4 linked regions of the Arabidopsis thaliana genome follow. The protein of the gene in region 3 interacts with the protein of the main gene of each other region in a pairwise test. Each region holds a gene or a part of one and is shown on either strand. Other genes may lie near its edges. The genes, in order: IAA15, IAA12, ARF8 and IAA32.

Region 1 (4,010 bases), on a different chromosome or scaffold from region 3:
CATAACGGAATAAGATCTTAATCAAATTCTGGATTCCGTTATGTAGATTTTTATGGAATGACAACAAAAGAAAGAAAAAATAACTGGGCTTATTTTGGGCTTGATACCATAATGGCATTATGATGTATCAAATCTGCCATGATGTATTCTTGACCCACTGTAGGAAACCTGGATTGGTTTGGGCTTAATTGGATAAACAATCTGTATAGAATTTACTGGTTTCGTAATTCTCTAAGTCTCGGACCGCTCTATTATGTTATCGCAATTTATTATACCCAAGTAAATGTCCAAGACATCAATATCAGTTTTCTAGAGCCTAAAAGCAGTTTCGATTATTTGAGACAAAAAGTATCAATTAACATTAAATACTAGCTACCAAATTTATGTACTTCTTATTATTATCTCACATATTTTGTTACGAGTCGAGTTAAATGAATTATACGACTGTTTCATTCCATGCGCATTATAACGAAAGAAAACAAACTTAGAAAACAATGGCTGACCGGAATTACCGGTCACGGGTTTGTAATCGAAACCGGTAAATTCGTCTATGTGTCGCCAGTAGGACCTATTAGCCCCTGGTTTAACTCTTATTGCCCTTATTGGTCTAAGAATAGTGTCGTGAACCATCGAAAAAATCATTTATGATTCTATGTTCCCCAACGAAAAACAGAGTCACGTGACTTACGCATGTGACCCTACGCTGCTGTAATTAATGTTCTGCTCTTTTCCTTTGTCTAAACTTTTTTGACATCTCATTTCATATTGCATGTAAATAATATGACTAATATGAAATTAATACCGGACACTGAAAAACTTTTCAGTAAAAACTTTATACTTGTTCACTAAAAAAGGGATAGTTATCTATCTCTAACTTTTTTTATCCCAAATCATGAAACTTTTAATCGCTTTTATACAATGATTGATGTTCATTATATATTTTATTTTAGATTTTATTTCAATTTTGAAGTAGAAGTTTCAACATTTAGTTCTGTTCACATTGTTTTTTTGGTGGGAACATTCTTTTCATTGTTTACAAGATCCACACGCATATTAGTTGGGATTTCTTCTGATATTCGGTGAAAGATTAAACTAATGAAGAAGTATTGTACCTAATTAGTGTGTAGTGTACGATGATAGATAATTAGGAATATATTGTTAGACCATGATTTGTTTTCGACCGACGACAGTGAAAGTTGATGTACATATATAATGGTGAAACTTTTTTACCAAGAAAAAGTTAGTTGGAATGATAATTTAAAGGAGTAAAGCGACAACAAAGTGTAGACAAAAGGAACACTATTGAAGATCTCTCCCGAAGAATATATTGGACTGAAGTTTTTTTTTTTTGGTCTAATGTTAAATTATTGGACTGAAGTTGACAAACACAAACAAATATATATGGGAATAAAGTTTATTATATTTTCCAACGATTATAAGCAAAGGTAACATGAATGCGATTAAAATGATATTTTCAACTCTATTTAGAAAGTAAATAATGGTATTTAGAATATATATTTTTCTCGTTTTGTGAATGCTAGTGGATAATATAATCAAATTATATATTTTTCTCCTTAATCGAACCCATCAGTCGTGACGTGGGAGCTTAAAGATCAGGGCTGATTTCTTCTTCTTCTTTCTTCTTTTTTAGTTGACAGTGATTTCTTCTTCTTCTTCTTCTTTTGATACCAGGCTAATAGAAATTAAAACTGAAAAGATATCCGTACACATGCAATTACATCCACTAATGACAGTTTAGAAGATGCTAAGTGGCTATAACTATAAATGAGCCCACACCACACGAAGTAGAAGCTAATCACCAAACTGTTCACTTGCTTTCGTGGAGATATAAAAACCGCCAGTTACAGGAAAACGTGTCATTATAGGTAGGGTTCACTAGTTTTTTAGCTGACAAGTATAGATCGACTATAAATACAAAGTTGGAAACCTCGAGAGTCTCACACACTCAAGCCAAAAGTTAGTGCCACATTGTCTCATCACTTTCCGCACTTTTGTTGTTAACTAACTTTCATAAATAGATTAAGATATTAATGTCACCGGAGGAATACGTTAGGGTTTGGCCGGATTCCGGTGATCTTGGAGGAACTGAGCTGACCCTAGCTTTGCCTGGCACTCCGACAAATGCATCGGAAGGTCCAAAAAAGTTCGGGAACAAACGTAGATTCCTCGAGACCGTTGATTTAAAACTCGGGGAAGCACACGAGAACAATTATATCTCAAGCATGGTCACTAAGTACGGCATATATATATTATATTAATTTCATTTATCGTTCATATAGGTCATATGCATGTTTGATTGATCTTCTTAATTTATTGTGGTTTTAGTGACCAGTTGGTGGGCTGGCCGCCGGTAGCGACAGCGAGGAAAACAGTGAGGCGGAAATACGTGAAAGTGGCGTTGGATGGTGCGGCCTATCTCAGAAAGGTTGATCTTGGGATGTACGATTGCTATGGACAGCTTTTCACCGCTCTAGAAAACATGTTTCAGGGGATAATAACAATATGTAAGTGATCGAGATAAGTAGGAAAAAATAAAGATTTTGATGTGTTTGGATGGACTGACGAAGTGAAGGATATTATGGTAAATTTACTTACACTTGGGGTTTTGGATGGTGGTAGGTAGAGTGACAGAGTTGGAGAGGAAGGGAGAGTTTGTTGCTACTTACGAGGATAAGGACGGTGACTTGATGTTAGTCGGAGATGTGCCGTGGATGTGAGTTCTCGGAATTACCCTTTGTGTTGCTTTTACGTACTTTTCCTTTTTTATTCAAAACTAGAATTTCTGTACTATTTTGTTACTTACATTCATATCAAAACTAGAATTACTGTATTATTCTGCTGTGAAGGAAACTAAATTTTCTTGGGATTGATGATATTTAATTTGTGTAGGATGTTTGTGGAATCTTGCAAACGTATGAGGTTAATGAAAACCGGAGATGCTATTGGATTATAGGTCTCTATTCTGCTTCCCACAACGTAAACGCATCGGATCTTCGAAAGGCTATATAAGATTATGATCACAAATGCATTAAATACTGTAGAGATGTATACAATTGCATTTTTGAATTGCAATATGCTATATATGTAATTTCAAACCTTTTTTGGCCGTGGATTTTGTATGTAATGTACTACTATTGTTTAAATGATTTTACTTTTTTTTTTTTTAATTCAATAATTACAAACCACTTTTAAGCATCAGTGCCGACCACCACGATCCGGGCATGACGACATCGACACTCGACAAGACGGGATGCTCAAAGTTTTAATATGTTTTTTTTAAAAAAATTACACGTTTCATTTTTATGCATTCGAATTTGTGCATTAAATGATCCTAGAGATCGTAATATAAAAGCGGATTTTTTTTTTTGTAAGAATGCTAGGTCTTGTAACATTTTTCTCTAGCACTCGTAGACCTTACTGTTATTGATTACATGCAGGAATATCAATAAACGAAGAACTAAAAATGGAATTGAATACTTGAGATTGACATTAAATTATCCTAGAGATCGTAATATAAAAGCGGATTTCTTTCTTGTAACATTTTTCTCTAGCACTCTGTATATATCTTATTGTTATTGATTACATGGCGGAAACATCTATTATCAATAAACGAAGTGCCATTTGAAAATTTAAAATTTTAACATTTATCCAAAAATAAACTTATAGTTTTAGTAGTAATGTAAAAATAGAATTTTAAAAACATTTGTTAAAAAAAAAAACAAGTGTTAAAAGTTTAAATAGTGTGTAAACCATTTTAAATCTAGGACACTTTTTAGGGGTTTGCATGTTGTGTCCAAATATATATACAAAATTTAAAAATTTAACACTTATAAAAAACAAACCCTTATAGTTTTAGTAGTAATATAAAAATACAAGTTTAAAAACATTTGTAAATAAAAGAAAAAAAATGTTAAAAATTTAAATAGTGTGTAAACCATATTGAACCTATGACACCTCTTAAGGGTTTGGATGTTGTGTCCAAATATTTA
Region 2 (4,608 bases), on a different chromosome or scaffold from region 3:
GATGGAGAAGAGGAGGAAGTGAAAAAGCCCTGAAGGAGGAAGAGGAAGATGAGAACGTTGATGACAGTGAGAGCAATTGTTGCGTTCTTGAACGAAAACCTCATGCGCCATTGATGATCCATTATCTTATTCCAAAGCAAACCCCAAAAATCTAAACCGTGGTCTTTAGAATTTCACCAAACTTGAATTTTATCAAGGATCATGAATCTTCCTTCTTCCTTTCTCTACAAGACTTTAATTTACTGGTCTTTTGACTTTACTACTTATCCTTTAATCTTTGGTTGGACTTGCTAAGCACTGTATCTCCTTTTCTAGGTAACAAGTTAAATATTACCTAAACAATCCATAACCTTATTATATTTTGATTTGGTGACGTGAATCCAAACATTTGTTATTTTCTTTGTCTTCAACTATCAGATTAAGAATAAAATCTTTACTTTTCAAAGTTTATCAATTTAAAGTAGTTTGCAGTTTTAAAAGATAACTCTTAACGTATTTTGTGTGAATTTAAGAACAATTAAGGACAAAACTTTTGATGGTCAAAACTTTTCTTGTCATCAATCATCAATATATGATTTTGATGGTCTTAGAAACATCTTCTCTTCGACCAAAAAAAATAAACATCTTCTCTGTTTTTTTTAATGACACACTCTTCTCTGTTTCTGCAAAACGTTTTGACTCGAGTCAATGGAAACTTCAAAAAGACAGAAAACAACAAACCATATTAAGGAACAAATATTCATTCTTTGGAATCATAAACATAACTCTTATCACATTAATTAGATAACTTCAACTATTTACAATCTGAGAGAACAAATAAACAAGAGCTTTCTCTCACAGAACATAGATAATTGGTACACAGCCAAAGAAGAAACAAACTGGAAAACTACGAATTGAATGACCTAAGCAAAACCATATCCGAAAACCGGATTCAAATCATATCTAAGCTTCTGCATGCTTTTATCCATATTCTCCAAAATACTTTCTTCAAAAAGTATCGAGTAAATTGCAAACCTCAAACAATACATAAACAATGCCAGCTTTGGAAGGGAAGCTAAACAGGGTTGTTTCTTTGTCTATCCTTCTGCTCTTGACGTCTTGGAGCTGCATTAAAAATGATTCAATCAGTCTTTTTCATTAGTCAAGACGAGAAATCAAGAAACCAGAAGATGATCTTTAAAACTTACCTAGTCCACTAGCTTCTGAGGTTCCCATGATCCGAAGCCTTTTCACCGAGTTGATAAACATTCTAAACAAAAAGAGAGAAAAGAGACTAATCAGGTTTTGAACTACTGCAATACTGCTTAATATCCGAATCTTACCTCCATGGAACATCTCCAACAAGCATCCAATCCCCTTCCTTATCTTCATAAGTGAGTACAAAGTCTGATGATCCATCTAAAAGCCTTAAAGGTTTAACCTTTTCTCGACAAGTAGTACCTGATAGATAAAACAGAAACTATCAGTAGATTCATAGAAAACATCGGGTTTATAGTGTACGCATTTGAAAACAGTACAGACCTGTCATTCCAAAGAACATTTCCTCAAGCGTCTGAGCCAAGTTTTCGTAAGACGAATGAGCTCTCATATCCACTTTTCTGCCTATACCAACTCCATCCATATTCACCTTAACAAACCCTAAGCCCTGAACTTTCGGATTCACCTTCATTGACACATCTTTGAGCTCATCATTCTTCACAACTTTCTTCTCCCCGTCTCCTTCTTCCGCTCTTGCTGCCTTCATAGCTTGGTTATTAACCAAACTGTTCATCCTGTGTAACCCAATTGGTGGCCATCCTACCACTTGACTGCCACAACAAACCAAGAAATTTCCACTCAATGGCTCTCGAAATTCAGATGTAATCATCTAAACAGACATTAAAATGAACAAATCTTAGCATTTGCATGACTCCATAGAGAAATCTATAGCACAGGACAAGCACAAGCTCATCAATGGAGATAGATACCTAACTCTTATTCAGGGTAAACTAAAACAAAAGCACCTACACAATTCTGTCCTGAGATGGCATAACACTCACATCACAAGATTTGAGCTTTCTTAATAAGAAAAAGGACGAACCTTGAACGAGGAGGAGAAGCTCCTTGGTGAGAGGAAGATTCAGCAGAGCGTTTAGACCCAACGGAAGGAAAATCCTTAGCAGTAAGAATCCTCCCACGCTCTTTCCACGCGCCACCACCGAGGCTGAGCCCTAATCCCAATTCCAGCTCACTCTCCGCCGGAAGATTACTCTTCCCCACCTCCAATTCTGACACACCACGCATGTCAATAACAAAACCCTAGACTCCAATGATACCAGCAGAGAAAGTGTCTTTCAAATAACCCACACAAAAAAGAAGCTTGATGACACAGAGAGAATGGAGACAACAAGAAGAGAAAGAGTGTATTTAGGGTTTGAGAGAGACGAGAGAAAGAGATGATGAAAACAGAGTAAAAGAGAGAGAGAGAGAGGAGGATTTTGGTGGTGGAGAGAGTGATGAGAATTGGGACCCATATGTCTTGTAATGGCCATACCAATTTTTTCTAACCAAAAGTCTTCTCCTTTGTTATAAAATATTGTTTGTTTTCTCTCAAAACTTGTCTTCCGACATAATCAAACCTGTTGTGCTCTCGTTGGGATATCGTTGTTGTGTTTGGTTCAAGCAGCAAGAGAAAATAGAGAGTCCCAAGAAACTTGTTTACAGTTGTATGTGTGTGTGCAAGGTTTTGCTTTGTGTTGCTGTTGCATCATAATATAGTTCTTTTTTGTTTTCTTTTCCGCTTGTGGTTTTTTTCTTTTCTTAACCAAAAATTGTATTGCTTTAGCCTTTAGGATGAAGAGTCTCTGTTTTAAATACCATTTTTCTTTAATTTGGGCTAATCAAAAAATCTAAATTAACTTTTATATTTCATATACTATGTATTGGTTACATTGCTCCTAGATTTTAGACCTAATTTTAGTCTCTCTTTAACAGGTTGGCCATCATTCTTTATACTAGCAAACTCGTTTATGGTCATATGCCATTTGCATATTGACCATTTGATTATCTTTCTTTTCTAATAACTAAGATAATATATATTTTCAACTTTTTCCTTAGACCATGATTGTTGTCGAACAAGATTATAAAAGAAAGTGAGGGAAAAAAAATGGTGGGAAAAGATGCATTATTATAAAATCGTGGTGATGAGATATTCATCATTATGTTTGATGATCCTTTGAAAACTTTTGCAGGCGCAATTGGTTTGTGGAAATTACACTTTTGATCAAAATCATTATCAAGGAGTACATAGATTTCATGCTCTAATTGATGGATTTGATAGAAAATAAACTAAATAACCGGTTATATCATGTATGAATCAAATAAGTATACATAATACATGAAAGTATAGTTAGAAATGCAGAATTTGTATATTTATTTTAGTTTTTTTTAGATTAATGTTTATATCATTTTGTTTCTTTTTAATTTTAGTCACCATTGTCTACAATACCAACATTTGTTCACTCACTCTTAGATTTCATTTTTATATTTTTTTTATTCCACTCACTCTCTTACATTCATTCACAGTTTTCTAATTTTGTTGTGTGAGCTCACTTTCTATTAAACACTATATTATAAGAAGAACATTTTTTAATTTTTTAAAAATAAGGAAGAAGAAGAGGAATACACAAAAATAAATGATTTATTAACACAACATTAATAAATTAATTTTTGTTTACTATTTGATTAATTCATCAGCTCAGATCCTTAAAAAATATAGTTTTCCAAAAAAAATAAAAGTTAATATAAGACCAATAAAATAAAGATCACACAAAGCTCAGATCGTCAGCGGAATATGTGCGTTGCACACGTCCGGCTCCACCTTTCTTAGTAGATCCTTCTGAGACCATCGGCCCACCACCACCACCGCATACGAAACTGCATTCCACACCACAAATCTTACTAAAACACGAGAAAAGTCCATTACCTCCATCTGTGTGACGGCGGTTATGCTTTTTCGTCGTCGGAGTTTTCCGTCTTGAACTCATTCCTCCCCCGGCAGTTGCAGCTGGAACGCTCGCGCCATCGTAATCAGTGCTACTTATATGGCTTGATCCTATGTCGTACAACGGTGGAAGCTCTGTTCGCCATCTCTCGAGTTTTGATCGCAATCCTTCGATGCTAGATTCATCGATGCTCCATTCGCTGAGTATTGAACTTTCCGTTTCGTGCGATCTATCTTTCGCCAATTTGTCAGCCACTTCAGATGGCGATGGTCCTAACTCCGATTCAGTTAAGATTCGTCTTCCAGCTAAATTCCTCACTGGTGTACCAAAATCGTGATGAGTTCTCATCGGTGTAGCCATGTAGTTTGATCGGATCGGGGTTGATCCGACGATGTTTGATCTCATTGGAGTCGAACCAACCATGTTAGACCGCATAGGAGTTCGCATTGGAGTCGATCCAACCATGTTGGGATGCATCGGTGACATTGCGATGATGTTGGATCTCATAGGAGTTGATCCAACTCCGTTAGATCTCATCGGAGTAGATGCGATAATGTTTGATCTCAATGGTGTTCCGTGCTTCGATAAGTACGGGGAAGCTCGGCCACGATCGTAATCTTTCACT
Region 3 (7,802 bases):
ATGCAGACATAAATCATATGCACAGCCTCAGGTGCTGCAGAAATAAATGAGGAAAGGACTGGAAATATAGAAGTTCTTGTGGTTGATGAGGCAGCTCAGCTTAAAGAATGTGAATCAGTTGCTGCATTGCAACTTCCTGGACTACGTCACGCCATTCTAATAGGAGATGAGTTTCAGTTACCTGCAATGGTTCATAACGATCAATGCGAGAAGGCGAAATTCGGAAGAAGCTTGTTCGAGAGATTGGTTCTGCTTGGTCATAAAAAGCATTTGCTTGATGTTCAGTACCGAATGCATCCTTCGATTAGTCGTTTCCCTTATAAAGAGTTTTATGGTGGGAGAATCAAAGATGCTGCAAATGTTCAAGAAAGTATTTATCAAAAGAGGTTTCTTCAAGGAAACATGTTTGGCTCATTTTCTTTTATCAATGTTGGACGTGGAAAAGAAGAGTTTGGTGATGGAGATAGTCCCAAGAACATGGTTGAAGTTGCTGTGGTTTCTGAAATCATATCAAATCTTTTCAAAGGTATATAATCTTTATTGATTTATAAGTGTATAGTATTTAAACTGTTTCATTATTCCTTTTGACAAAATTTGCTTAATGTTGAAACAGTTTCTAGGGAAAGAAAGATGAAAATGAGTGTTGGAGTGATTACTCCTTACAAAGGACAAGTTAGAGCAATCCAAGAGAGAATCAGAGATAAGTACAGTTCCTTATCAGGTGAGCTTTTCACTGTGAATGTTCGGTCTGTAGATGGGTTTCAAGGTGGTGAAGAAGACATTATCATCATCTCTACCGTTAGAAGTAATAGTAACGGGAAGGTTGGATTTCTCAGTAACCGTCAAAGAGCCAATGTGGCACTCACTCGAGCTAGGCACTGTTTATGGGTGATTGGAAATGAGTCAACACTGGCTCGGAGTGGTTCGATTTGGGCAAACCTTATAAGTGACTCGAAGAGACGTAAATGCTTCTATGATGCTAAAGATGATAAGAGATTGAGAGATGCCATGAATGCTGTCCAAGGTTGATAAGTCTGATGTGTGTGCACGTTTAAGTACTCTTTGGGTCAAAAAGAAAGGGAGAAAATGAGTTGTTGGTACTTCATCTATGTCATTCTTCAACCTAAGTTACTAGTAGAAGCTTTTGGTAACATTTTGTGATTAATGGTTGTGTTTTAAAGATTTGGTTGGTTTTGGTTTCACACCTTATGGAATCTAATTGGTCTGACCAAACTGAATGTCTAACAATGTTGTTACAAAAATAGAATAAGAATAAATACTAGAAAAGTTTAGTTACCCTGAGACAGCTACATAAAGGTTCTTATGTTTATGACGAGAGTGTCTGTCTAATACAAGCTAAAGTACGTCCTAAAGTTTCAGGACCCATACTCACAAATATGATTATGTTTCTTTCTAAAAACGTCAAAACGAGAGAGATGCGAACGAATGGCATATAAAGATGAGTGGAAACGACTTCAAATGGGAAACAAAGGGCTCCCGCGTTGTAGCATGATGAGACTAACACCGAAGCAGCTTCTAGAGATGGGTCGGGTTTTGCGGGAATAACCCACCACTGCCTTCTCCATGATCTCCCATTTGATGCACATCTTCTGGTGATAGTATCTTTATGTACCAAACGTTATTCACAAATGACCTGCAGAACAAGCTTTTAAAGATCTATCTCAAATCTAAAGCAATGTATACAAATAGAAGAAGAGTACTTTACTTACTCCCATGGGTCATCACCAAGGAGAAGAATATCATTTTCCTTGTCAACGAATACAAGCTGCCAGCCTGATCTAAGGGGGTCTTCCAACAACCCTTCGATAGCAAACATCTTCCCTAACTCTTCTCGCAGCTCGTGGTAGCTGCTGAATCGGGAGATGTCTAATGAACGCCCAACCGAACCAGATTTATAAACCTGCAGTTTTGGATTTGTAAGCATATCAGTATTTTCTTAGAGACAGTAGAGCCACAGAGAAGTCGGTGAGCCTAGAACAAACCAGCACCTTTACAAAGTTCTTGGTTTGGTTGGACGAGTTAATCTGTCCAGCTCCATGCAATAACTCATGAGTTGTGTCTTGCATGCAGCTATATAAGGAATTCTGAAATCCTGAATCTGTTAGTGACATAGGGGAAGCTTCAGCATCTCCTGATGAAGAAGCAAAGCGGGGAACCGTACTGGGGAGGAAGAGTCCAGAGTCGGGATCAACACCGAAAAGAGAGGGATTCTGCGGATTTCCGGGTTCTAGAGCAAGACTCTTCCCAGGATAGGCTTGTGGAAGTGACAACGGTTCAGAAAAAGTGTTGGATGCTTTTGGAGACCAGCCCTCTGTTGTTAACTGCTCAGGGAGTACAGACTGACCGGTTATAGAAAAATTCAAAAGATTGCCATCTCCAGAAGCCGGACTAGCAGTTGTTGCAAATTTGTTGCTTGAGTCAGTAAAATCTGACTTCATGAACGAGGGAGATGGCATCTCTGATTGCTGCTGCCACTGTTGAAGATGGCCATTTTGCATTTTGAAAGCATTAAGATATGCATTTTGGTCCGGTTGCTGTAGCTGTTGCTGCTGTCCAGCTGGTTGGTTACTAACTTCTTGTCGCATATTCTGCTGCGGAAGATTCTCACTCATAATCTGTGTTTGAGCATGCATGAGATGGCGTGACGCTTGTTGCTGCTGTTGCTGCTGAAGCATCAAATCAGAATTATGGGAAGCTGATTGTTGAAGATATTGGTGGTGAGGCTCTTGCAGCTGTACAAACTGCTGTCTTAAAGGATCTCCACCGCCGATGTTCTGCAACCCAGCAGCTAACATTGCTTGGTATTGCTGATTATTATCAGTCCCCATTTGACTGAGATCCAGCCTTTGTTGCATCCATGGAAACAAACCAACAGATGGATAATTTAGAGGAAGCAAACCTTGCTGCTCTCCACCTCCCCCTCTTAGCCATGTTAGACCACTTCCCAAATCACCCCTTCCATCTGTAACATCATAATGTTTTGAGTAAATAGCTATGGAGAGTACCTACACACTTCTTTGTAAATAAATTATAACAGTAAGACCCTCTTCAGAGCTCTACTCAATCGAACATTTGTTATTTATCCGAAGTAGCAACTAAGTTACAATAGCAGAAACACTGAGTGACAGTAAGAGACTTCACGAACGTACTATACTAGTTAATAACAGTTAGGAGAAGAGCCAAAAGGTGGATACCAGGCAAAGATGATGTGCCAGCATGCCATGGACGTTTTAGTCTGAGAGGAAAAAGAGATGGATACATAGGAAAGGTAGTCAGAGGCTCAATCTCCCATAAAGAAACCCTTGGCTGTCTCTCCCCTGCAGTCGATTCATCCCAACCAACCTACACCAATAATGCCACAGTTCATCAATGTTGATGGAATTTCAGAGTAATATTGGACTAAATCATCAGAAAGCTGTGTGACGTTCCATGGAATTTAAATAAGGTAACAGGCTTAATAGTGTTGTTACCTTCACAGATCGCCAATGAGAGTTTGGCCAACGAACAGAATCTAGATCACTAATACCAGTTATAGTACCCATGTACCTGGAAAGTTCCCCATGCCACTGTCAGAAAACATGTTAAAGTAATATGTGTAACATAATGATATAGTTTTCTCAGTTTCAAGATTGCATTTCCAGATATGTGGCATCATCACCTGCGGACACTCGACTCTTCTGTCTCGAAGAGCATGCGAAAGCGCATCCCAACTGAAATACGCGTGTGAAAAACGGCTTTAATGTACTTGGAAAGTTGTATCACAAACTCAGATTGGCTAGCCCTGAACATGAAGAGAATATTAGTAGGATATATTATCGGATATACCGAGAGATGAAAAAGATGCAGGTGGGAGAGATTTTTCAACCTTGGATGAAAGAAAACAGTGAAACAGCTATTAGTTGCAGAAGCATGTGCAGCAGCAGCAAGGAGTCCAATATGCATGCTATCACTAGATAAAACAGATGATGGTACAATAGTCTGCGGCCGAGTGGCATGACGAATTCCCAAAAAGAGTTGATTCTTTTCATTCCTGGAAACAAGTAATAGTGTTACAAATATAATCACAATCCACAAACTGAACGTACAACAAAAGAACTAAACCTGATGAAAATGACAGAATCTCCAGCTACTAGTCGCTTGGCACTGACAAAGACACTCCATCCAGTAGTTAGGAGATGCCGTTTGGGCTGTCCTGCATAATCACACCAAAACCATGTAAGTTATTCCTAACAAACCAAGAAGAAGGATTCAAATCAACTTAACTTCATATGAACAAGTAAATAATTCCACGTTATAATAGACAACGACAAGAACACAGAGCCTCCGTGGTTTCTTCAACTAAACCACACATGAGTAGTGAAAATAACAGCAGATGCTGCTTCAGACATACTTAACAGCCAATTGAAATTTTTACACTGGCGACTACAGTTAAAAAGGGATCATCAACGCACACCGAGGAAAGGTGAAACCTACCCCGAAAGATATGCCTAAACTTCCATTCAACATCATGGAGATCCCTTGCAATCAGTTCTTGAGCTGGTGGCTGCAGTGTGTAATCCTGCAACAGGGAAGACACAAGATATTAAAAGGAATACATATATTTTCTCAACAACAATTTATAGCAAAGTAAGTAAAAGAAAAAGTATAATACCAATGGAGGAAACACTTTCTCAGCAGCACGTCTAGGAACAGAAAACCCTCCATGTGTACTGGTATCACTAGCTGTGAGAGTCTTACAAAAATAATTACTAGGTTGCTTACTCGGTATCCCCAACTCAATCGGTACAAATGTTTCCTTCTGCTCCTCCTATAAACAACACCAATCCTAAAGCTTAAGTTATTAATTCACAGACTCAAAAACCTGTTATGTATAATGTATCTACCGGTGTCAATGGTTGAAGTGTCATTTGAGCATAGACTTCATCCGTCTCAACATCTGCCTGAAATAGTAGAAACGAAACCCATACTTACAAAGCACATCATCCCAAAACTAGTTTACAAAAGTAAAAATTGAATATGGAAAGGGACAGGGAACTAACTACGCACATGCATTGTAACATTATGGAGCTGGCATATCAATTGTGGTGGTAGGCTTGGGTAATTGGGTATGTGACCATCAACTTCCTTATTAGTTGTAGCAGCTACCTACAAGTACACTTCTATTTAAATGGAAATGCCCAAATATAACACAAGTCTAAAAATAAAGCTCCATACTTTTAAACAACAACCCAAACCTGTTCACTGTGACCCTGTGGAAAGTAAACAACTCGACTACCAGATGATGGAAGAGAGACTAATGGTCCAGCACAAGCATGCCATAGCTCAGAATTCAGACACTTCTCTCCTGTTAGAACAAACACAGACACAAGAACTAAGAAAACACTTGTCCAGAAACAGAACTAAGAAAATCAGAGAGTAAACAAGTCACCTTCATGACCCTGTTGACCCAATCCAGATGTTGACAGCTTCATGTCTAATTCAACTTCAAGAAACCAAACTTTGAAAACCCTAATTTTTCCGTACAATCTATTAAAAAATCTTCTTCACTTCCAGCTACTACAGTAGCTATAACTCTTTAGCTCCGGAAGTACAAACTCGTCTTTCTCCATCTCCTTTGTTCAAACCCCCAAAAATCTCACTCACAACCATAAGACTCAGTGAAAGCTTCGAATCAAAAAACCATCCATAAAACCCTTAAACACAAGAAACAGAACAAACCCCATTTCTTCAAAACCAGAATCTGTTTCTTCTCATCATCAAACCATGAACAACAACACAAGCTCTCTACTACAAGTACGCATTGAAGCAACCCCAACAGAAAAAAAAAAACTCTTGTCTTTGAGATCTTTGTGGATGAAAAAATGAAAGAAACAAGACAAAAGAACAAATCTTTCTTCTTCAACAACTTGACTTCTCTCGTGGGTAAAAAATTAAATCTCTTGAAGCAGTTCCATCACTGTCCAAGAGAGACACTTTGGCTTTCAAAAACAGAAGAGAGAGAGAGAAAGAAATGGTTAGTGAGAGAAAAAGATATGTGTCAGAGAGAGAAAAGAAGAGTGCGTGGGGGTGAAAGAGAGAGAGAAAAGAAGAAGAAAGTGAGTAAGTGGTTTTCCTCCTCTTATAAGAGACCCGACCCGACTCCACCCGACCCGGATTTGACCCGGATCCGATACAGTGGAGAGAAGGAAGAAGAAGAGAGGTCCTACTAACGAGAATTATGAGAGGTGGTGTCAGTACCAGAGTCACTTCTTTTTGACCGTTGGATTTGACTCTTGAGATCTTGATCGTTGAAAAATAATAATTGTTTTTTTTGAGGTCTTGGATTCGATGAAAAGGACAATGAATTATAGTATTTGAAGTGAGAGAGTGAGAGAGAGATAATAGAGTTGTCATAAATGTTAGCGTTGTTTATTTTAAATACTTTTTATTTTTGCTCCATTCATTGATGAAAGAAACACCAAATACTCCCATAATTTGATTTATTTAAAGATAATTTATAGTAGTATTTAATTTAATAACTCAAAAAATATTTTGTTGGATCTTTTATGAGTTCGTTGAAAAAATGGTCAAAGGTTTATCTATTGATAAGTGATGTATTATTAGATTCGCAAATCTAAGTTCTAATTTAGAAACAATCATTAGCAAATAGATGCCCGATAATCCAACATCTTATGGATACCACTATTTTACTTACCAAAAGAGAAAACTAATACACATGGATCTTGTTTGAATAATTTTTAAAAAATTTGGGATATGGAGTGTATCACTTGGAGAAGCTGGATTTGGAATAATCTTTGCAAGTTAAGACCCTTAACTAGGTTTTTCATCGTTTGTGAAATTGGTTCAGAAATAACTTGTAATTTCTGGACTGATAATTGGATTTTTTTGGGACCATATTTGTCGAGCTAACCTGAAGATTTATGACTAAGAATTTCTCTTCTCCCTCGTTCTGTTGTGGTTGCGGATGCATTGAGAAAGAGACAATAGTGGCTTACAAATTCTCGAAGTCGCAGTCCCATTATTCAGTTGCTTAAAGAATGTCTTCCTTCCTATTCTACTGTTAACTTACAAGAGGATGTAGAGGATGATGTTTACCTTTGGAAGGTGATGATATCCATGCATCAAATATTTTCTCTGCTGCTAAAACTTAGGCACATTAATATTCAAAAAAAAACTTATGCACATCTTCATCCTCCTGACACAAAGATGGATCGGTTTGAATCTGTGTGATTTCCAGGAAGGATTCTTAAGCATGCTTTCATTGCTTGGCTAAAGTCTCATCATAGACTTCTCACTAGAGACAAAATGATTCGATGGGGCATGACTACTCCTTCGTCGTGTCTTCTCTGTAATTTGATGGATGAATCTCGCTAACATTTATTCTTCGACTGCTCTTATGTTGCAAAGGTATGACACTATTTCTATGATAAAGCCCATCTTTCTCCTCTAAATCAATTTGAGGATGAAGTTAGATGGTTGAAGAATCCTTGTCGTGACAAGAAAACTACTTTGATTCTTCGAATTGCCTATCAAGCCTCACTGTACTCCATATGGAAAAAAGCGCAATGCAAGATTGCATAATTCATCCTCAAAGCCAGCCTCAGTTCTCATTATTTATCATTAACATTCTTCAATGTCATCTAGACCCTTGTTGGATAGCTCAACGGATCATTCATCTGGTTTGGTGTCTTTCAATAAATTTATTGTAATACTTTTGTTATCTCATTTATTTCGATTGTAGGTTCAATTTTCCTTGGTGTAACTTTTCCACTTCTATTATA
Region 4 (5,189 bases), on a different chromosome or scaffold from region 3:
CGTCTCCGGTTGTTTCTATTCACCTCCAAGCCTGAGGCTACTCAATCTATGGGTCAGATCCTTGAGAGCTCTGCCAAGAGCGACGATTGGTTCCTCAACGCACTCAATAGCGCCGGTCTTCTCAATCGAGGATTCTCAGATTCTGATACTAACGTCAATCGTTTACTTGGTTTGGATGATGCTCTTGCTCTCCGTTCTAATTCCGGTGACAACAACAATCGAGATGGTGATGATGGCTCTGTTAAAAGCGCCAAGCAACAGCAACCTCCACCGCCGCAGCAGCAAGAACAACAGCAAGGAGGCCAAGATGTGAACTGCTTACCGGATTCTCCGATGTTAGATACATCCTCTTCTTTCGGCTCCACTTCTTCGTCTCCCTCGCTCGCCAATTTGCCTCCGATCCGTGTCCATGTAGAGGAACCAGGCGGAGTAAGGACTTTGCCAGATCAGAGAAATCTGGGAATTGAAGAACAGTTCGCACGATTCAACGTCGGGAACAAGCATCAGCTACATGACGACGGATTTGCTGCGATCTCTTCACCACCGCCGATGCCTGTCACAATCGCCCTTCCTGCTGCGCCTGTGACTGCAGCCACCGTCTCTAATGAGTTCCAGGCCAGGGTTTACTCAGATGACGAGAGATCCGATCACGGCGTGCAGGCTGGATACAGGAAGCCTCCGACTCCGCGATCGCAGCCGCAGAATCTACCGCCTCAGCAGGCTCATCAGCTGAAATCAAATAGCGGTGGTGGACACGAGCTGCCATCACCCAATTCCGTTTCCAGGTACTCTTTCTTCTTATATTGGAACCCTCATGAGCCTTAATTTGATGCTATAGAAGAACTAAGATTGGTCAGAACTCTGATTGTGTGTTTGCTATATAATGAATGCCTCAGTGATAGCAGTATGAGCAACCCAATGTTTCACCAAAGACCATCTGTCTATCAAGAACCAATTGCTCAGATACCTTCTGGCTCTACCGTTGTTACTGGTATGATCAATCCCTCAGATCCAAGCACACTTTTGTCACAGCATCAGAATCAGGACCCAGCCTATATCCTTCACCCCCAGTTTGAGCAACAATCTGCACAATCTCAGCCACAGCAGCAGTTCATACACACTGCTGCTCCTCCTCAATACATTCATCACCATCCGTCTAGCGGCCTTCCTGTCCCGACTTACATCCAGGTTTACCCTTCGCAACAGCCTCAACAGTCCTTCCATCAACACGCAGGTCGACTGGATCAGCAGCCTTATCCTGTTTATTATGTCACTGCTCCTGTCCCACCTAGGCCCTACAGTATGCCTGTGCCACAATCTCCAAGTGTGAGCGATGCTGCAGGGTCTATCCCCTCTAACCATCCCAACTCTACCATGATGCCTCCACCTCCTAACAACCACATGAGAAGTGTTAGCAGTGGCAAACCTGAGATGGGACAGGCTGGGGTTTACACAACAGCCCCAGGTGTGGGCGGTGCTCAGATGGTTCACCAGATTCCCACAAACCAGCAGCAATTCATGGGGTATTCGCAGATCCGTCACCCTCCTCAGTCTGGTTCAGCTGGGAATCCAAACTATGGATATGAATATGTCGACAATGCTCATACACAGATATACTACACTCAACCTATGGGACATGCACAGTACCAGACAATGACTGGGCCTCCACCTGCCATGGTGATGCCTGATGGTTCTGCTGCTGCTAAGCTTCCAGCTGAGAACATGACTCAACAGATCCGGAGTTCACAGCCATTGTGACACACACAAGGAACACATGAAGATGAACCACAAAATTTTGGAGGAAGAAAACCCCGGGTTGGTTTTTAAACGTATAAATATATAACTTTTACTTCTTTTTTCTTCTCTTCTTTTACAAGTTGCTGCATCAAAAAAAGAGTCTGGTGTCATGTTAAGTTTGGTATTATGGGTTGTGTTTAAAAGTGTTGTGTGAGTAAATTAAAAAAACAAATAAATAGTGCTTCTTGGTGGGATTTTACATTATATAGTTGCAATTGATACATGTAGTGCTTTACCATTTTCCTGGATCTTATATCATATTATTATCATTCATTTCATTTTGTAAATGTATCACTTTTTTGATCATCATCTCTCTATCTTGTTTTTTCAAGAGACTTTGAAGGCTATAATATTGTTCAGAAAGATTCTGAAATGTTATGTATAACATTTAATATTTGGAAGAATGTATGTCTGGCTTCTTGCTATCCATGGGAGCATAGGTACAGATATTAAAACATGTGTGTGGTCTTGCAAAAGTACACACAAACCCTACAACTTCTAAGAGACAAGGTGTGGGTGAAAAAGGTAGTGACAAAATCGATCTGTCTTGCAATTTAGCAACACAACTATCTCTTTTGAAAGAGATAGGCATTTGTATCTTTACCTAAACACCAAACCCAGTCCTTTTTATCTCTCTCTCTATACATGACTCAAAGATATTTTACTCTTGCACTACACTATTCTCTCATAAGCAACACAGAGCCTCACTTTGAATCGAGTTGTCAATAGTCCCAGATAATATTTCTGCAGTGTTCACAGAGTTGAGATGTGACTTTGTGCATCAGAAGCATTGGCAGACCTGGTTGGATTACAAGATCTGAACCAAATCTCTCTCTGTGGTCAGCTCCCCATCCCTTGCTTCAAACCAACTGGATCTTAATGGGTTTTTCTTGTCTTATGTCTCTTTCATGTCTGCAATTCTGTCTTTTTTTCTTTAACTCTTCTGACACTCTTTTAGCATCAGCTCATACTATAAATCTTTAGAAGTGAGCTCTCTTTTTCTCATCTCACTTTCCCTTCTCTGCATCTTTAGAAATAAAAAAGCATCAATGGACCCAAACACACCTGCAGACTTCTTCAAAGGTTCTTCCAAGTTTCATACATATTACTCACAGACCAAAAAGGGTGGTGGGGTAATCGATCTAGGCCTCAGCCTTAGGACCATACAACATGAAACTTACCTCCCACCGGCGCGAAGTGAGTTTTTTTTTTTTGCTGAATAGCCGTGCTTTCACCTCATCATTAGTTAGTTTTCTTAATCCTCAACTTGCTACCTTCAATATCTATATGTGAATCAAAGTGATAGGTCTCGACGGGTATGGAGAGCTCATAGACTGGTCGCAGCCCAGCTATAACAGCATTACACAGTTGAAGAGTGAGGACACTGGACACCAAAGACTTGCCCAAGGATATTACAATAATGAAGGAGAGAGCAGAGGAAAATATGCTTACGTAAAGGTAAATCTGGATGGCCTAGTGGTAGGGCGCAAGGTTTGCCTTGTTGATCAAGGAGCTTACGCAACTCTTGCTCTTCAGCTCAATGATATGTTTGGTAAGCCGTGTTCTGACCCCCAAGCTTCCAGCTACAAGTATGTTTCAGAAGGTTTTGCCACATTAATTCGAATCTGCAGGGATGCAGACCGTGTCGGGATTGAGGTTGTTCCAGACTGAGTCTGAGTTCTCTTTGGTCTACAGAGACAGAGAAGGCATTTGGAGGAATGTTGGGGATGTTCCATGGAAGTAAGCTCTTACATTTTCTCTATACAAAAACTAAGCATTTTAAGTTAACCACTTTGTAATTTGTCTGAAACCTGTAGGGAGTTTGTCGAAAGCGTGGATCGGATGCGAATCGCAAGAAGAAACGATGCTCTTCTTCCCTTTTAAGCTTTTAAGTCCAAGCTTCTTCTGGGGCGTTCACTGATTATCTAAGATCCAAATTAGCTCACTTGTGGTTCTATTGTTCAATATCTGATGTAATGGAAGCTTTAAGCTATAAATACGATTATGAAGAGAGGGACATCTTAATAACCAACCACCAACAAGACTGGGACAAATAAAAGAACAAAATAAAACAAAACAAACGGTAACCACATTAGTGTCATCAGGCTTATGCTTCAAAATACATTGCAGCTTCAAATTTCAAAACAAGCTTTATGTGCAATCTCTAGATGTCTCAATCGCCGGCCACGGGTAATCTGTCGAGCGTATCAGAAACGTGCCTCATGGTAGGCCTTTTCTCTGGACTGCTATTCACGCAACTGATTGCAATCTTAAGAACAGCAACAATCTCGTCTTCCGTCTCTGCCTCAGGAGCCAAACAAGGATCAAGAACATCACACAATGGTTTCTTCTCCTCAATGCATACCTGTACCCACCGCACTAGATCCATTTCCGATGTCCCCACCTCCACTGCGGGAGACCTACCCGCTATCAATTCCAGTAAAATGATCCCATAAGAGTAAACATCCCACTTCTGTGAAGGTTTTACCATCTTGAGAGTCTCAGGTGCTTGATAGTAGGATCCAGAAGAAGAGTGAGCAGTGAACTCCGAAGATACGCTCTTGTGATGGTGTTGTTGCCTCTCTTGCGGCTGTTGATCCGTTTGGATGATTCTGTTAGACTGTATGGTCGGAGAAGATCCTCCAGCGATGTTAGCTAACCGTGCTAGTCCAAAATCTGAGATCTTAGGTTCCATGTCCTGTCCAATGAGAATGTTGCTTGGCTTGAGATCTCCATGGACGTATTTCTTGGGACTAAACTCATGCAGATAAACAAGCCCTGTAGCAATCCCTTTCATTATCCTCAACCGTTCAGACCATGTCAACGGAGCGATGGTCATCATCCCCGGCTTTCCTGCACATACACACACACACATTTACGATGATGTAACTGAATAATGCATCTTGAAATGAGAAAAGAGTGACTCACCGTGGAGGGCGGTTGCGAGGTTACCGTTGGAAACATAGTCGTAGATGAGAAGCTTTTCATCGACAGACCAATAATAAGCTCGAAGACTAGCAATGTTAGGATGTTTTAGTTTCCCTATGGCTTCAACTTCTGTCTGAAACTCCTTGAATCTCTGAGACCCTCCTTCACCCAATCTCCGTACGGCCAGTGTGAGCCCGTTCTCTAGAACCACTTTGTAGACAATTCCGATTCCGCTCTTCCCCAGAACGAAAGCTGACGCCTTTAGCAGCTCCTCCAGGTTAAACGCAACCTGAGCGTCGAGGGGAACAATGTCGCAATGCTCCACGTTTTCAGATGGCGTTTCGGATTCGTCTTTACGGAAACACAGACACTCAGAAGCCCTTTTCTTGGATTCTTTCTCGACTCCGAATTGGTTCTCGCGGTTACAAGCGCAGAACTTTGAGTAGCAGTAAGTGAAAAGCAAA

Evidence for each region.
Region 1: the proteins of ARF8 (region 3) and IAA15 interact in a two-hybrid assay, tested with the Arabidopsis thaliana proteins (2 studies listed by BioGRID).
Region 2: the proteins of ARF8 (region 3) and IAA12 interact in a two-hybrid assay, tested with the Arabidopsis thaliana proteins (2 studies listed by BioGRID, with this or other methods).
Region 4: the proteins of ARF8 (region 3) and IAA32 interact in a two-hybrid assay, tested with the Arabidopsis thaliana proteins (2 studies listed by BioGRID).

What each region holds. Positions count from the first base shown.
Region 1 is NC_003070.9:30,220,744-30,224,753, reverse strand, and holds IAA15 (indole-3-acetic acid inducible 15), read left to right. Parts: upstream 1-1,984; 5' UTR 1,985-2,051; coding exon 2,052-2,254; intron 2,255-2,346; coding exon 2,347-2,533; 3' UTR 2,534-2,734; intron 2,735-2,910; 3' UTR 2,911-3,125; downstream 3,126-4,010.
Region 2 is NC_003070.9:1,238,257-1,242,864, reverse strand, and holds IAA12 (AUX/IAA transcriptional regulator family protein), read right to left. Parts: upstream 2,572-4,608; 5' UTR 2,284-2,571; coding exon 2,081-2,283; intron 1,809-2,080; coding exon 1,522-1,808; coding exon of another isoform or gene 1,490-1,521; exon of another isoform or gene 1,441-1,489; coding exon 1,323-1,440; exon of another isoform or gene 1,250-1,322; coding exon 1,188-1,249; intron 1,105-1,187; coding exon 1,055-1,104; 3' UTR 708-1,054; downstream 1-707. Other genes in the region: AT1G04555 (uncharacterized protein), read right to left, coding at 1-122; AT1G04540 (Calcium-dependent lipid-binding (CaLB domain) family protein), read right to left, coding at 3,804-4,608.
Region 3 is NC_003076.8:14,627,841-14,635,642, reverse strand, and holds ARF8 (auxin response factor 8), read right to left. Parts: upstream 6,191-7,802; 5' UTR 5,493-6,190; coding exon 5,450-5,492; intron 5,366-5,449; coding exon 5,256-5,365; intron 5,167-5,255; coding exon 5,068-5,166; exon of another isoform or gene 4,962-5,067; coding exon 4,905-4,961; intron 4,829-4,904; coding exon 4,673-4,828; intron 4,580-4,672; coding exon 4,495-4,579; intron 4,214-4,494; coding exon 4,123-4,213; intron 4,052-4,122; coding exon 3,887-4,051; intron 3,803-3,886; coding exon 3,680-3,802; intron 3,568-3,679; coding exon 3,492-3,567; intron 3,364-3,491; coding exon 3,216-3,363; intron 2,984-3,215; coding exon 2,010-2,983; intron 1,922-2,009; coding exon 1,731-1,921; coding exon of another isoform or gene 1,727-1,730; intron 1,655-1,726; coding exon 1,537-1,654; 3' UTR 1,189-1,536; downstream 1-1,188. Other genes in the region: AT5G37030 (P-loop containing nucleoside triphosphate hydrolases superfamily protein), read left to right, coding at 57-526, 614-1,029. UniProt on the Arabidopsis thaliana protein: Auxin response factors (ARFs) are transcriptional factors that bind specifically to the DNA sequence 5'-TGTCTC-3' found in the auxin-responsive promoter elements (AuxREs). Seems to act as transcriptional activator.
Region 4 is NC_003071.7:115,539-120,727, forward strand, and holds IAA32 (indole-3-acetic acid inducible 32), read left to right. Parts: upstream 1-2,479; 5' UTR 2,480-2,636; exon of another isoform or gene 2,637-2,830; 5' UTR 2,831-2,846; coding exon 2,847-2,994; intron 2,995-3,097; coding exon 3,098-3,349; intron 3,350-3,428; coding exon 3,429-3,537; intron 3,538-3,614; coding exon 3,615-3,681; 3' UTR 3,682-3,970; downstream 3,971-5,189. Other genes in the region: PDE331 (Octicosapeptide/Phox/Bem1p family protein), read left to right, coding at 1-785, 897-1,758; AT2G01210 (Leucine-rich repeat protein kinase family protein), read right to left, coding at 3,971-4,650, 4,726-5,189. UniProt on the Arabidopsis thaliana protein: Aux/IAA proteins are short-lived transcriptional factors that function as repressors of early auxin response genes at low auxin concentrations.